Linked DNA regions of Drosophila melanogaster. The protein of the gene in region 4 interacts with the protein of the main gene of each other region in a pairwise test. Each region holds a gene or a part of one and is shown on either strand. Other genes may lie near its edges. The genes, in order: whe, knrl, Trim9 and Inx7.

Region 1 (2,789 bases), about 14 Mb from region 4:
TTATCGGTGGTTTTTATACAGTTGCATAATTTATCAGTTGTCACAATTATCATTTCGAAATATCCTTTGATTTGTACCTAATCATTTAAAGCCATTTAACAAATAGTTGTTATCTTAATAGCTTATTATCTAGTTGCCTTGTTAGTTACGTAGCTTTACGCTCTTTGAAAGTAATATTTTATGCTGTTCTTTTTTGCTTTTAATTCATACGTACAATAGGTATTTCCAAGTCGTGTGGGTACTTCCTAACGCCTTCAGCTGCTTCAGCTTATTGTTGGTGTCTTCGCTTTGTTGTACCGCTGTTGCCCTTGTTGCTTTTGTTTCGCCCGATGTTGCTGGTGTCGCCAAACGCAGACGTCGCCGTCTTCTGCCTTCCAAAAAGTGGGGTGGCAGCTGGAGGGGGCGTGCCAAAGGGAAACTTTTCAAATAAAATGATTTCTTATTTAGGCAACCGATTTGAGACACGCCCCCACACCCACACCCAGGCCCATTTCCATTTCCATTCCTCGGGCAGGAGCAACGCAACCATTACTCGGAGTTCGAAATGGAAATCGGTGCAGTTAATGGAATCGGTGGACGGTTTTATATATTGAAATAAGCAGAATATATATCTTTATTTAAAGATTTTTGAATGTTTTTACATGAAGGACTCGGCGATCGAGTTTCTAGGCGGACGCCTCACTGGAGGACTCGCTGGAGCTCTCCTGGGAGGAAGAGTCTTCGGAGGAGGATGAGTTGCCACCTTGGGGAGGTCCTTGTGGGAGTCCCTGGGGAGGTCCCTGAGGTATTCCCTGCGGCGGCTGGAGTCCTCCAGAGCCCTGAAGTGGTCCCAGACCTCCCTGCGGAAGTCCTGGAGGACGACGTCCTTGGACAGCAGCCAGAGCCACCATGGCGAGCACAACGATGAGGAAGATTACACGCATTTTGATTTTGTAGATGATTGACTTAGCAAATTCAATTGACTTCACCAACTGCACCCGAGCCCTATATATACCTCGGAGATCTCTACGGAATCGGATCTATTGCAGGTGTTTTGCAATTCTATGTTTTCGATGGACAAACAGAAGCATTGTGCAAACAGCGATGACCCAAGTGAAGTTGTGTAAACCCTTCATAATGGAAATACTTGGCCAACTGGTGATCTTAAAATATTAAACAAACTAACCTCGTGGTTGTGAAACTTTAGATTCATTATATTTATACTTACTTCCTAAAGCTATTCCGGGTGATCTAATGAATAAAATGTAGATTTATTGGAACAGCTTTAGGTTTTTTCGTTTCTTTTTTATTTTAGCAAAGTATCTAACTATAAGATTTCTGTTTCATAGATTTTTCTTTTCCGTAAATATGCATTTTGATTTAGCTTAAAGCTTTTCTCGGCACACCCAAGATGGGGAAATATAAAAATGGCAATGAAATAAAGTCGGGCAAAACAATTGAGCTGAAACCTTAAGCTCTTTGCTGGGATTTGGCCAAAAAAAGTGGAAAGTACTTGCACTTGTCTCGCCCCCACAAATCCCACACTCCGCGCATTTCTAAGATCCTGGAGCATTTGCCACTTGGATGATACACCTAACTTATAAAAATTTCTGCACATGATTCCGCTTTATTGCTTTATGACCGTGTGTGAGTTCTACTTGGAAATTCATATCTCTGGTACTAAACAAATGTTTCAACATTGAGCTTCGGCTTCTTGCTTTCCGGTTTTTTGCAACACGAGCCTATTTTCAGGACCTTGCATTAAATTTCGTTATTTCGTGCTCTTTTTTTTAGCCAGCATACATTTTTTTATTTATCGTAGTTGAGAGCTAACTTTAACCCTGTTTTTCTTAGTGTTCGTTCTTATGAATATTTCAAAGTACTGCCAGGCTCAAACTTTGACATTCAGACTGAAATTTGCCTTTATCCCGCGGAGAAGTGCACGCACCAACTCTCGAATATCCACATATAGTATCCTTGCAGCGAGTGTATAGCTTACCCTAAGTGTTAACACTTTCACTCGCAGGATTTCTTTTCGCTTATTTTCCTGTCTCGCAATTGCCGGCATGTAGTGTTGCTTATGAATCTATTTACAACAGCAACAAAAGGACCTTTTCTGTAGTCGTAATAACCTTTGATGATCTGTTTCAACGGCGCGTGCTGTGAATTGTCAATAAAAAGGCAATTTCGACGCTCTAAAACCAGCTCGGTGGACTGGATATTCCACTTCAGCACCGCACTTTCCACTTTTCCTATGTGGCTGCCGTTATGTGGTAGCTTTATGGAGAGCATGGGTGTACGACAGGGACTCGCAGGATGCGATACAAAGCTCTAGATGTCTGGATTCATTTCTGAGTTCAATCGGAGGGAACAGGATAATCGTTATAACCTCAAGAATTGGCGGTCGCTTCAATTATGGCTTGATTGATATATGGCTCTTCAGATATAAATTACATTTTCTGTACCATCAGTTCATCTAAACTTAATTTCTTATTCGTGTGCTAAAAAATTTAATGAGAGCTTAAAGGATACGGATATAGATATTAGCTGATTTTTCACATGCCAGCTATTAGCTAGTAGTTATCTATACCAAGTAGCAGTCCACAGGACTGCTGCCAAGGACGATTAGAAAGATTTCCCAACGGGTTCTGATTATTGGGGTAATTGGCCGCCCGGACGTTCCCTTGATTTGCGGTCAGCTGTCGTTGCCATCGGTCACATTTTGATTAACCCGAACGCAAATCCACTCACACCCTCAGATAAACACTCACCGGAATGCTGATGAGGCATTTAGTGTCTGGTGTCGAAGT
Region 2 (4,705 bases), on a different chromosome or scaffold from region 4:
ACTGTTTGCTGGCTCTAATGACCTCTAAATGGCTTGGTACTACTTATTATATGATCAGGTTATTCCAAAGGTGGGTCAATATCCCTGATATTTGATCTGCACTTGTTTAATCGAGCTTTTGCCTTAAACTGATTGAAGAATAGCTCCTAATCCGTTTGGTACTCTGACATTTAACCAAGCTGCCAGCTAATAATAATAATAACCATAGTAATATCATTATATATCGCGATGCAAATGCTGGCGGAACTGGGCTGCATAGCTGCACCTAAAAACGAACGACGAAGACAATCAGCTGCCTCACATCAGCGGCTCTCAAGAAGAACCCCGAGAACAGCTCCGTGAGTCACCTCGCATGGGGACCCACTTCTGGGCAGAAGACTCGGCCAGGTCGGATCCCCACCACCCGCCCCTCGCAGCGAGGAGGCATGTTAACTGACAACAGGTGTTTGCTGCTTGCCGTTTGTCTTGAAACCTTGCGGCCTGCTTGCCACATTTGCATTTGATATTTTGTATGCTTGTTTTCCTGCCACTGTTAACGCGTCCGCACTAAATACTTTCACACATTGCGCCCCCTTTCTGCTCTCCTTTGGCTTTTCCGGCCTGGGACTCGGGCCCCTTAAGGATGTGGACTGTTAAAGTCAGCACACGACCTTGATGTGTTAATTTCCCAGCCACTTCTGTCAGTCATCCGTCCGAGATACACTTTTACAATTGTGTTACAATAAAGGGAACTATCTGAAACTCTATACAATTGCACAATTGCAGATAATTTAAACATAGAAATTATCTTTATACCGTGTAAAAAATTGAAAGGATAGTTTAAGTATATGGATAATATTCTAAGTTTCCTTAATTTGTACTAAATCGTTGGGACTTCAGTGTAATATAATAATATCCAAATATCCAATTTTGCATTAGGTGCATACCTTTTTTTAGAGTGTTGGTCTAAGGAACAGCCTCAGGAAAGAGCTGTGATCTTAAAAGGTGCCAGCTAAATCAACCAGTGAAGAAGATTGCCCCAGCTAACTAGAATAAGTGCGCACTCTGCGATTTGTAGAACATGGCAAACTTACAAGGCACTCGCCATAAGTGCGAGTATATAGGTTCTGCCAATATTTGCGACACATGCAAAAGCAATCCAAGTTAGATTCTTCATTTGCCTGCAAGCGAGTCAGGGCAAAATGCACTTTAAAAAATTATCAGTTTTTTAGATACAAATCTTCTGAATTTCCAAAAATGAATGATCACTTTATTTCTAATTGAAAAGTCACTTCTTTGTAAATATAGTTAGATGATAGGCATTTCTCATTGATCAATAGAATATTATATAAATTATTATTTAAGCTGCAGCATCAAGCAAACTAAAATGTTCACAAATTTCCAGCTTGAATATTCTAAGAATTATTTTATCAAAATAATTATTTTTGATCCTTGATGGATTAGGCAGCACCACTTTCCATTTAGTTCCTTCGCTATTGAGCGCAATAATTTCTTTCAGTGCCGCAGTTAATGCCATTCCCATGGATTTCGCCTGCGTTTTCGAATTTTTGTAACAAATATTCTGGCAAATAAAGCTATACACGCTATTTGCATTATAAAGCAAACATGTGCGGCGACTATATCTGTGCAGGCCATCTCGCTCGCACTTGACTTACATTGATTCTGTTATATAGTCGTAAAGTTTATTTGCCTTGCCCTTGCATGGTTGTTGTTGTTGATCTAGCCATGTTTTATGGCCACACTAAAAAGTGCACTGGTCAACAAAGATCGGCCAGAGAAAACTTTCTCACAAAACCGTAGCTGGGGGCTATAGCTCCTACTGGGCTGTCGTATAAGTGTCATATAGGGGAGTGTGTATATGGTTTGTATAATTAAATCATACAAACCCCGCCGACAGTCGTAGACAGTTCGTCAGTTAGTCGGATTGTCAAGCGTTATCTGGCGTCGCCATCTTCATCTTGATTTTTTTTGTTTTATGAATTCTATTCGTTAATGAAATTCACATGTTCCCCATCTACAACTCCGAAGCCCCATCTCTATCCCCATTTTTATGTCCGCATGATGGATGTGTCTCAAAAAAGCCCGTTCGTTCCGTTTCTTCTATATTTTTTTTTGAGGGCGCCATTGAACCTTTGAACTTACCTGCTTTTACTGACCGATCAGCCTATCAAGTTAATCCAATTTATTTGCTTAGTGTTTCTATTTCGTTGCGCACTTAAGGTCTGCGTCTCCTAACATTGTGAACTTTCCGTTTAAGGTTTTGTGTATTTTCGTGTATTTGCTTGCTATTATTTTTTGTTCACCTTGCGCCAATAAAACGTCACTTGAGCGTATAGAGTTGTTGCTGTTTTTGCTCAAATTGCACTTGACTTTTAGAACTTTAGGCGAGCGTGAAGCATGTTTAATATATATCTTTTGGGTTGTTTGAGTATGTGTGTTTTTGCATATAGCAGGGTGTACATATATCACAAGGAGGCAATATTTTGTATAATTTTTATTGTAATACAAAGTTTTAAAGTTTTGCAGTATGGTTAAATTTTAATTTAGCTAGAGATATTTCCGTGGGACTTTATTTGGTGCTGTTTTTACGCCTTCTGTGTTTTGAATGCGAGTTTTTATGGAGTGACCACACCTTTGTGTGAGGGCACTCCTGGCTGCGCACGCGCACTTGCCGTAAATTTCTTTATTTCCGCTTTCGTTTGCCGCTTTTGAGTTTTTTTGCAGTGACGTGTTACAGACTGAACTCTACTATTTCAGTTGGCACTACATATACATATTCGTAGTATTGTTACAATTCATTTTATTTAACTGAGTAATTTTTTGATCTTAATTTGCATGTGTTGATTTTTAGCGGCGGCCAAAACAACGTAACGCCTGGGACGTAAGACGAAGACGACGCAACGACGACGGCGACGTGCGATCGAGCGTGCGAGCAAGAAGCGCGAGCTATCACTAAAGACTGATGTTAAGCAGTTCTGCAAAGTGCTCACACCGCTGCGACTCGGCGACTCAGATGCTTTGCAATATCATCCGACGAACGCTCGGTAGCACACTGAGCTGAGACTTCGGCTACCAGAGAAGTAGCAACAACAATATCTCTGGCCGGGGAGATGATACTACTATAAACAAAAACTACAAACTGGTCGAAGAAGCAGTAACAGAAACCGAAACAAAAACAAAAGACTGCAAAAGCGACAAACTCGAGCCCAGCTGGGGTGCGATTGTGTGTGTGAGGAAGAAGACGATTCCGATTCTCTCTAACGGTGATACACCCGAACTCTCAACCCCCAACCGAAAGACAACCAGGGAGAGAGAGAGCGAGAGTGAGACTTAAAAGAGCGACTTTGACTCAAATTGCCTGTCTGTGTGAGCCGCTGTTTGAGTGATGTTAACTCAAATCCGAGTCGATTCGGCTATTGAGTTGTATTCACAGATCAAGCTGAAACTGAGTAAATGCATATGAACATATATTAAAAACGTATAATTACTAACATAAATACGAACTATAACTATAGAAAAGGCACCAACAAATTTAGAAAAAAATGCATGTCGTGTTTGCAATATATATATAAATTGCACAGTTTATTTCTCGGTTAAGATATAATAATAAATTCCTAGTAACTGCGAACAAATATAAGTCGTTTAAGATGTAATCTAAGTCTATTTAGCGTGTTGTTTAATTTGACCAATCTTAAGTATTTCCTTTTTCTTTTTTCTACTTTATTTATAATCAATTTTATTCGTTAGATAAATATAATATAATTTAATAAATTTAACGATTGTTAAGGAACATAGTTTTGTTGATTTAGTGTCCAATGTTATATAACTGGGGAATATTTATGGCAAGCTGATCAAATGTGGTATATAGTAAATTAACAATATAACATACTTGATTAGTTCAAAAAAATAAGATACAATACAATATACAATATTTGCCTCCAAATACATCATTATTTTTCCAGTTGCTCACTTTGAATATTGCACTCGATTGTTTTTCTCAATCGCTCACCATTTTGTGCGGCTTTTGAGTGCTTCACTCACAGGGCACACACTCTCGTGAATATATCTACTCGAAGAATTCGTTACCACATTTGATTGGCTCGATTAACACAATCGGAGCACCGTTATATCCAGTATACTCACACAGACAACCGGTAAAGAGAGCGGCGTGCTCATGAGAGCGGAATCCACTAACACCAGCGCAAAACGGGATCGTGCTGCAGTCGTCGTCGGGTGTTTTAGATAAACGAGCCGATCCCGTTTGCCGTGGGCGAAAACGAGACCGGACTATAAGGCCATCTCCCGTGCATCGGGCGAGTTATATACCCGGCATATATGTTCTCGTTTCGCTGACCAATGCAGAGCAGCTGGCTGAGAGCTACCCATGCAAACGAGAGCGATCAATGAGAGCGATCACTCACACAGACGCATCCATCGAAATCGTATTAGCGGCTTGCCAGTGGGCGTGGTCTATCGATCGGGGAGTTTTAACCCACCACCCACCTCCCCTGAACTCAACAAAAGTCCATCGAACATTGCCCACTTCCAGCGATCTCGACTGAAAGTGCGAATGAGAGGGACTAAGTGTCTCCGAAAGAGAGGGGAGTACGTAAGACTCGAGTGATGGAGTTTTTCTAACGGTCTGCATCTAATTCCTCTTTTTTTTTGCATCTTCCACTAGTTTTTTCGCCCGTTTGGCAGTTGT
Region 3 (4,623 bases), on a different chromosome or scaffold from region 4:
TTCGGTGCGGCATTCAGGTGGGGAGCCACTTAACACCTCCCGATTCCAAATCCAGATCAAATACTCCAGCAGGAACGTGGCTTATTAAGTCGAACGGATTACGCACTGCTCTGGGTGGGGATATGCTTGAATTGGGAAAGGGGGGAGTCAGGCACTTTCCACGCCGCACGATTTTCTTGCTACGTTCTCCATCATTTTCCTTAACCGTGCTGTATAGCGTGCACTCAAAAAAATATCTGTAAAATATCAGAATACTTTAAACAATTTTTGTGTTAGCACCATTTGAAAAACCCTTTGTTAAATTTAAAATGAATCAAATATAGTATATGAAATAGTATTATTACTTTCCTAAGGTATACATACTGAAGAAAGCTATTTATTTATTTAACACCATCATGCTAACGATTTTCTCTCTGTGTAGATAAACATCTAGAGCAGGTCACCTATTTGTATTTAGCTTTCCGATATCGAATGTCAGTTACCGTGGGGAATTCTTCACCATCCTCAATCGCTAGCTCTCGATTTCCCGCTCGGTTGGCCGCTCCGGTGTCAAAACAAACTGGAAAACGGTCTGAAACAGAGTCCGATTTTAAATCAGTCAAACAAACAGCGTGGTCCAATAATATTTGTAGATCGTAGAATCGACGTAGCTGACACCTCCATTGGGGAATGAGCGATGTAGTACATACCTTCATATAAGCACTTGGTACTAGGAATGTCGCCATGTGCACGAGTGGGTCGGTGGCCGGTCGGGGCTTATCAGTGGTGCAGTGGTATAGTGGTGCACTGGTGGCACCGACATTACCTGCTCACTTACCTGAGCCACTTACAGTGGTGGTACTCCAATTAATAGCTCTTCAAGTCCAAGTCAAAGTTGACAAATAGTTTGGTCAGTCGTGAGGTTCCTTGCCAAACTTTTGCTGCTGCTTGGAACTTTGTTATTAAAAGTTGGTACAATTATTATATAACTACAATATTATAAAAATATCACAAACTTTATTTATTCTTAAAAAGAATAATTGTTAGTTGCTATTACTTCTGCAGCTGGTGTAAAACAAACGTATTGTACTGATAAAGGTTTATCATATTATATAGCTTTAGTTCAATCTCACGATAAGGCAATTCGTGCATTACGATAGAAAATGCGATAGTGAAATTGAACGCATATTTGTTTTTAATGCTTTGTTGAAATATTTTTATTTATTATTATATTATTTTTAATATCCTTATATCAAATTCTTAATTTCCAGTGCTTACTCAGAAAATTATTCTTAAGCAGTCGCTCTCAAACTGTAGTCAAACTGTCAAGTTAGAATGTTCGAATCGAGCCAGCTCATGTTCGAATCGAACTTCAGTCAACAAATAACAACTAACTCACATGACAAATAAAAAACAATAAAAAAAACAAAAAAAAAAATAATAATAATTTTATTTTACGTTTATACGTTTTACAATAATTATTTTTGCGTATGTTTCAGCGGTTATTAGACAATAGTTTAATTTCATTCGAACTTGAAGAAGTTCGGTATGAAGAAGTTGGTTCGCTCAGTCGAACGCATTCGAGTTCGAATTGAAACCTCGACTGCGGAAGCAAGTTATTCCACTGCCAGTCGTTCAAAAATCTCAAGCGGATCGGTCGTGTTGCGGATGCCCAAAATCGAAATTGGTCGCGTTCAAAAGTTAGGCGCGTAATCAAAGTGGCAAGAAAGTTGAATAGAAAGAAAACAAACTGCAAAATATATATATAAAAAAAAACAAAGGACATTTTTAACAAAATTTGTGAAAAGTGAATTTTCCAAGGACTTGAAATTGAATTCAAAGTGAAGATTGGTAAAAAGTGTGGTACTGTTGAGATACCAAAAACTACGAACTAAACAAAAATTGCGCAAGTTTCAAATGTGGAAAACAATTTATGATTTGGTTTTAACGCACAAGTTGTAAACAAGAAACAGGATTTTAAACGCGATTTTATTAAAGTGTAAAGTGAATAATTCGAGGATTACCAAAGACATGTTGTCCCAAAGAGTGCAACCCAACTAAAGCGAGGATAAAACCGATTTAAACAGGACCTCTGACCTCGCCAACTCAATCCGAATCGCATTGCTCTTGCGGATTATAACCACCAGACATGGAGGACGAACTGCGCTGTCCCACGTGCAAGCAGCTGTACGCCAATCCGGTGCTGCTGCCATGTTTCCACGCCCTCTGCCTGGGCTGTGCCCTGGACATCCAGACGCCGTACAGTCCGGGATCGGCTCTACCGGGCGCTGTCAACGGAGCGGGTGCAGCTTCGGCAGCGGGACACAATGGGTTGCATGGCAATGGAGGCGGTGCCGGCGGCGGAGCAGCTGCTCCAGTCACAAATCCCAATGGACCCGGCACACGGCACAGCTCGCACAGCTCCGCTGCCAGCACGGCCAGCTCGAATACCGGAAGCGAGAGCGTCACCTCCGACCAGGATCAGTCGGACAAGGTGAGCATCTTCAGCGAGGCGGACTCGGGCGTGGTCTGCTGCTCGAACACATCGCGTCCGGTGTCCTATGCCGGCACAGGACTGCTGCCAGGAGTGGGCAATGTGGTGGCACCGCCTGGAGCCGCCTACTGTCTCACCTGTCCGCTCTGCCGCAAGCTCGTCTTCTTCGACGACGGAGGCGTTAGGAATCTGCCCACCTACCGCGCCATGGAGGCCATTGTGGATCGCTTTTGCGCCCGCGAGGCCCTCCGCTGCCAGATGTGCGAGACCGATCCCAAGGTCGCTTCCCTGATCTGCGAGCAGTGCGAGATTCGCTACTGCGACGCCTGCCGCGAGTTGACCCACCCCGCCCGCGGACCGCTGGCCAAGCACACGCTGGTCAAGCCGCGCGGCGCCGCCCAGCAGAGGGAGTCCGTCTGCGGGGAGCACGAGGAGACCCTCTCCCAGTACTGCCTCAGCTGCAAGGCTCCCGCCTGCGGACTTTGCATCGGAGAATTGCGCCACCAGGCACACGACGTCCAGTCCATCAACGTCACCTGCAAGGCTCAAAAGGTGAGTTGTGTGATGGGATTTCGATAGTTAAATAGTTGACTTTAATGATTGCGAGTTGCATATGCCATATCAAAACGAGAAACTGCTTGAATCTATACTACAAGTACAAGTATTTATTAAATTAATTTGTTAAATGCACAATATGCTCGAATCCTTCAGTCAATATTGCAGACCATTCTACTAACAGCCAGACAAATACAAATATTTGTTTAATTTATTGGTAAACAAAGTGCTTTTATTTGAAAGACAGAAGAGGGAAGATGTGCTAATTAAAGAAATACCAAATAGGAATTGGTTATTTATGCAAACCAAGTTCAGATCCCAGCAGTTTGTGTAGAGCCAATAAAGGCCAATGATATGACCGTGATGTCCGGAAATTCATTGCCAGGAATCAAAAGAGTCCTTTTTGGGGGGGTCGAAGAAAAATACGGCATTGAGGCAAACTAATTAGGGGCGAAAGTAGGGACCTCATGAAATAAATATGTATTTGCTGGCGAAGGCATCGCATATCCTGGCCACATCCTGGCTTGCTTCCTCCTTTTTAGTTGATTGTATTCCATTTCTACTGTTGCCTTTCGTCTGGCTTTTTTGTGGAAAATTTATGGCTTGTCTTGTGGCCCCGAACATTTTTCATGCAACATTGTTTTGCTGCAAGTATTTGGGAATATTGGTGCTTAAAGCAGCTTGCAAATCAACGAAATTGTATTATGAATGTGGAACTGTAGAAAAGGATAACAACAAGGCTTGAAAAAATACTAAGAATTTTTGTACATTTCACAACTGCAGACAAACATTTTGAAAGGGGTATCTCTGAGTCTGTTAGCCAGTTGAAGTATTTCATTAAAGCAAATTCTTTACAACTTCTACCCACCTTCGTTAGCTTTTGTTTTGACGGAACCTTCCAAGTGCCACAATCTCGCAACTTTGGCACGCTAATTCAGCGATAAGTTTCGTTTTCCTACCTTTTGGAATTTCATTTCACAGAACTTCAGTGGCATTTTTTGTTTTGTTGTTGTTTTTTTTGGCCCTCTCACCTGTCGTTCGCCAGTTGAATTCATGAATTCGCCGTCTGTCGTCGAATCACTGGCAATTGTCAACGGCAGCAATTTTAATATGGCAAATGTTTCGAGTGCCTGCACATCCTGTCATCCAAGGACAACAAACCGACGCCAGCGGAAGAGGACGAACTGCGACAAGGACAGAGCCAAGTGCGAAAAGTGACAAATTGCAGTGGCAGCCAAAACAAAGGATGACAGTGAGGCAGGGAAATCAACTGTCTAGTCAGGTCAAGAAGGATATTATCCGAAGGATAACAAGGCAGAAGGAATAGAAAGCATTTTTTGTATCCCAAAAACAAATGCGCAAAAGTATTTCACAGTCTCTGGTCTCTGGTTTAACCTGTAATCTAACTAAGAATCTCAAGCAGGATTTCCAGCAGAAGTGGGCTATTAGATACATATAAATAGGTTAAAAAAACATTACTATTTCGATAGTACATTTGATAGACCCGCACTATAAACTGGAATATTCGAATAGATAAATTTTCCTGCATTTTCACCATATTTCATAATTGAAGAGTACGCGCAATGATAACAGTA
Region 4 (4,278 bases):
TGGAAATCGGTCCAAATATGGACTTGGTTATGACAGAGCGGCATGTGTAAATGTCTTAATGCAGCTGGAAGCGTTGACTTCAGAAGTTGAGTTCCTCCTATCTCTGGATGTTTTCGATGAAAACCACTTAAACTTCCCAAAACCATAGAAAATATATAAAACTTACAGTAGCAATAACTCACCTGGAGAACCGTCCGTAATCGGGGATACCGTCATGCACATCTATTGAAACTTCACAGTCAGATGGGAGGGTACAAACTGTGACCCAGCTCTGAACTGAACACTGCAGCTCAGTAACAAACACTTTCGAAACCACAACGGATCACTCGAACTGGGTCACCCAACCGCAGTCGCCACTCGACACAAACTGTCGGCCACGCCCACACGCCCCTCCGAAAGGTGTCTGGTCGGTTTTGGTTTTGTTGTGCTTTTTACCCACTTTTTTTTTCAAAATACCTCACACAAAATAACTGTTTTTCTGTCGGCCATTTTGAGAGATTTTGCTTTATGTGAGCCCCGAAAAAAACCTGTTGGATAAAGCTGAAAGCCGAGTCTCTTAATAATAAATATATTTATAATGAAATGATCATATATATATATAAAAAAAAAACAGGTGTAAACAAGACAAAGCTCCAATAATTAATTGCCTAGCGTTAATTGAAATGCATAAATTATACAGGTAACTTTGCCATATCCGAAGTCGATGGCCCTTGGGCTCCGCCGGCAGAGGGCGAGCCATTGCGTCGAAGGTGCAAGAGTGGTGAATCAATCGTATCCAGACCACTGAGCTCCGGATAACGGTTCTTAGCGGGCGTGGGCGGTGCCTCTCGATAGGCATTGACATCGTTATCGTGATCGGGATTGGGGAACTCACTAGCCAAATGATAGATAACCTTCTTGAATAGGAACTCCGAAAGGTTGGAGCGCAGGAAGAAAAGGAACATCCAGTTGGAAAAGTTACACTTATCAATTACCGCCAATAATTCGTTTTCGTCCAGTTGGCCAGGCTTGGCCCAATAGAGAGACCAGCGGGTAAATGTGACACTAATTAAAGTGGGTTAGAAGGGTTATCACATTATGAAAACATATTTCACACCTATATCCATCCACTCACTTTCTGTAGAAGCACAGGGTTAAAATTCTCCAAAGCAGTCCCAGAACAGTAACAATCAAAAGGAAGGCGTACCAGAACCACAGAATAATGTAGATCTTCTCGTTCATGATGTTCAGCGCCATCACGCAAAGGGCATCGTGCATTTGAATGGAGCCAGAGTCACCAAATTTGTGGAACTTGCACTTGGTAATCTTCGGGAATACTAGATCCAAAACGCTCAGCTCGTCGGACCACCGATTTTTCAGGGCATGTGGTCCCAGTGTGAGGAATTGACCGCCCAAAAAACGGTTGGTCCATGTGATCTGCAGCAGAAGATTAATCAGATTGAGCACCTCCGCGAAGACCAAGTGGGCACCCCACGATTGATTCAGCCGCATCCGGTCGATCATTGTGCGACGAATGTCCTTGACCCGCTCCTCCGCCTCCGCCATCGAGGGAATGTTCAGCTTGCCGATACGCAGACTATCGTTCTTCAGGTACCTCGTTAGACCCACCATTCGAAGGCCAAAGACCAGGGCCTTGATCCGGCCGCCCTCCCAACTCTTCCACAGGGCATGGGGAATGTAGAAGCAGAGAGCCTGGAAGAACAGGACAAAGGGCACCCACTGGTAGTATGCATGCCGCTTGATCGTGTCCTTTTCGGGATCGAATGCCCCTATACCAGGTGGCTCACTTCCCGGCCTGTAGGCAGTTTGGTTCTGGTCACGTACCTATTTGGGGTGCAAGCTATGTTAATAAATGATCTACTGCCGCCAAGGCACATAAATAAAATCTATTCTATCATTTGATCATTTCAGGAATGGGTATGTGGCAACATATATCAACCAACTAATAGCAATAAAACGACTCTAAATCGATTAACCCTATTTAAGTTTTAACCAATAATCAAATAGAGTATTGATAACAGTTGCTCTCAATAGATACTTCTGTGTACCCCGTACATAGATATTTTTTTTAATTCCCTGGTGACCTCTTATAATTTTCCCTTTGTGACCCCGCTGACTTACCACTGTGAAGGTGGGCGTGAAGAAGCAGAAGGTGTTGATGACCGGAGACACAACACCGTCGGATAGGCACTGGATGTGCTCCCCGATGTACTGGCGCGACGTGATCAGGAGGGTGGCCACTAGGAGTATTACGAAGGTCCATCGATAGTGCAGCTTGAACACTATATTGTCGATGACCACACGCGTGAGATCGAACTTGAGGTACTGCCTCACCGAACTGAAGGTGTTCAGCATTGTAACGCCTTCGTTATCTTCGGTTTTGGGTTAGGTTCTGGCCCCGATCCGATCCGATCCGATCCCACTTCTACTTCGTTCACTTTCTTACGATGATTACGACAACTATGGCTGGGTGGCAATTGGAAACGGGCTGGCTTCTGGGTTCGGATGGATTTGTGCGCTCCGCTTGCCGCGGCTAGCTCCTCGTAACTGCAAGGCTCGAGACTCTGCACTTGGTCTCCGGGTCTCGGAACCTTCGGTCTCCGGTCTCCGGTCCCCGTTCGCCGATCTTCATCACCATTCCACATTCGTCGGAGAGGGCTTTCTGGCGCCTTATCGACCGCTCATTTTTGGCCAGGAGAGTCGCCCGGGCCCGATAAGATAACTTCGTCGGGCAGAAATACACGGAAATGCCGAATCAGCAATGGTATTGTGTTTAGTTCAGAGTTGTCCAAGAAAAGAGTAAGGGAAATATGAGAACCTACTGGAGTGCGCTACACTTAGCAGGACTTACGTAGACTATTGGACTATGAGAAAAAAAAAAGAAATTTTTTTCAGCTTCTGACTCGCAGTATAAGCTGAGAGAGGGGCACAATCTTTGTCACTTAGGTTTCAGTCTAAAATGTTAGCAATTTAATTCTTTCAGTGTAGGGCTCTCTTGATACCCAAGAAAACTCCGAAGTTTTTCGGTCATATTTCAAATTTCGCCCAAACATGAGTACTTCGGCATGTATTCGGCTCGTGGCTTCATAAGAATCCGAAAATGATAAGACGAAAGTCACAGAAAGAGCGAAAGAAATTATGAAAATAATACTCATTTTCTCAGGGTTTACCTCATCGGTAAGTTGGCTAAATCTCGCCCTGGTGGGTGGGTGAGTAACTTCCCACCCATCGAAATTCATCCAAGATCCAAGAGCAAAGAGGCCAAGATAACCAAGCAAACAATCATAGGAAATATGAATCAGTGCGGGAAAATATATATGTACATATATGACTCAAGAGATTCAGGATATCAGCAAATTAGTTACACTTCCAAAAACATAGCAAAAATCCCTTAGTGATGCAAGAAATGATCACTTGGTTTTAAGAATAACCATAGAGACTTGCATTGAAATCATTCAAGTGTGGAATTGCAAATTCCGCCGTAATCTGGAACTCTCCGGGTCTTAAAGCGTGCCGCTATCGCCACCCATATTGATTCAATACTGCCTATTCTGATGGATGGGACAGTAATTGGATAAGCGGACATATATCGGCTTGGCGTTATCGTATTGACCCAGATCAGTGCTAGACAGAGGGCTATGTACATACTTACTGAGACTCTTCTTCTTAAGATGGATTATTGCTCGGCTGTTTGCCTTTTTGGCGATATCGTTGCAAGGTTCCACGCAAGGCAATCAGGTGGATATTCACCCTGCGCACTATTGTATTTCATTCTTTGGCCCCGACAATCTTATCTTCCAGTCAATCCCCAGAAAAGACAACGAGTGACTGGCTTACTTACTTTCTAGAATGTAACGGAATTCCAACAGAGATTCGCACTATCAGCTCATAAGTATCTACATATATCTGTTGCTTATCTAAATAGCTCGCCTAGGCATTGTATTTTGGTGCTTATTACTTAAGCGCTCAAGTGGCCGCTCCAAAACTTTGCCGGATAAGATAGTCAAAAATGGCCCCTTTACATACGTACATATAACATTTATAAGTCGTGCGTAACTAGAGACCAGTTAACTATATTAGTAATTGCAACATTTTTAGCCGGTTGACTGCTCGAATTTACCTCTACTTGGGTTTCCCAGGAAATTGCTATGATTACGGCTACTACTTTTGCTTTTGCTTACGCCTCCCAGTTGACGAAAGTTCATTGATTCATGTTCAAATAACAATCGCATTGCTTTATTGGCATAGCCCAGATTTTGATATAAACTGATAGGCCAT

Evidence for each region.
Region 1: the proteins of Inx7 (region 4) and whe interact in a two-hybrid assay, tested with the Drosophila melanogaster proteins (one large-scale study listed by BioGRID).
Region 2: the proteins of Inx7 (region 4) and knrl interact in a two-hybrid assay, tested with the Drosophila melanogaster proteins (one large-scale study listed by BioGRID).
Region 3: the proteins of Inx7 (region 4) and Trim9 interact in a two-hybrid assay, tested with the Drosophila melanogaster proteins (one large-scale study listed by BioGRID).

Annotation. Positions count from the first base shown.
Region 1 is NC_004354.4:21,401,795-21,404,583, forward strand, and holds whe (what else), read right to left. Parts: upstream 979-2,789; 5' UTR 924-978; coding exon 666-923; 3' UTR 545-665; downstream 1-544.
Region 2 is NT_037436.4:20,617,600-20,622,304, forward strand, and holds the start of knrl (knirps-like), read right to left. Parts: upstream 3,061-4,705; 5' UTR 2,143-3,060; intron 1-2,142.
Region 3 is NT_033779.5:10,543,276-10,547,898, forward strand, and holds the start of Trim9 (tripartite motif containing 9), read left to right. Parts: upstream 1-1,607; 5' UTR 1,608-2,128; coding exon 2,129-3,025; intron 3,026-4,623. UniProt on the Drosophila melanogaster protein: E3 ubiquitin-protein ligase activity. During embryonic and larval development, regulates the pattern of axonal projections of class IV nociceptive sensory neurons (C4da) downstream of netrin receptor fra.
Region 4 is NC_004354.4:6,991,059-6,995,336, forward strand, and holds Inx7 (innexin 7), read right to left. Parts: upstream 2,555-4,278; 5' UTR 2,356-2,554; coding exon 2,122-2,355; intron 1,825-2,121; coding exon 1,115-1,824; intron 1,045-1,114; coding exon 672-1,044; 3' UTR 554-671; downstream 1-553. UniProt on the Drosophila melanogaster protein: Structural components of the gap junctions.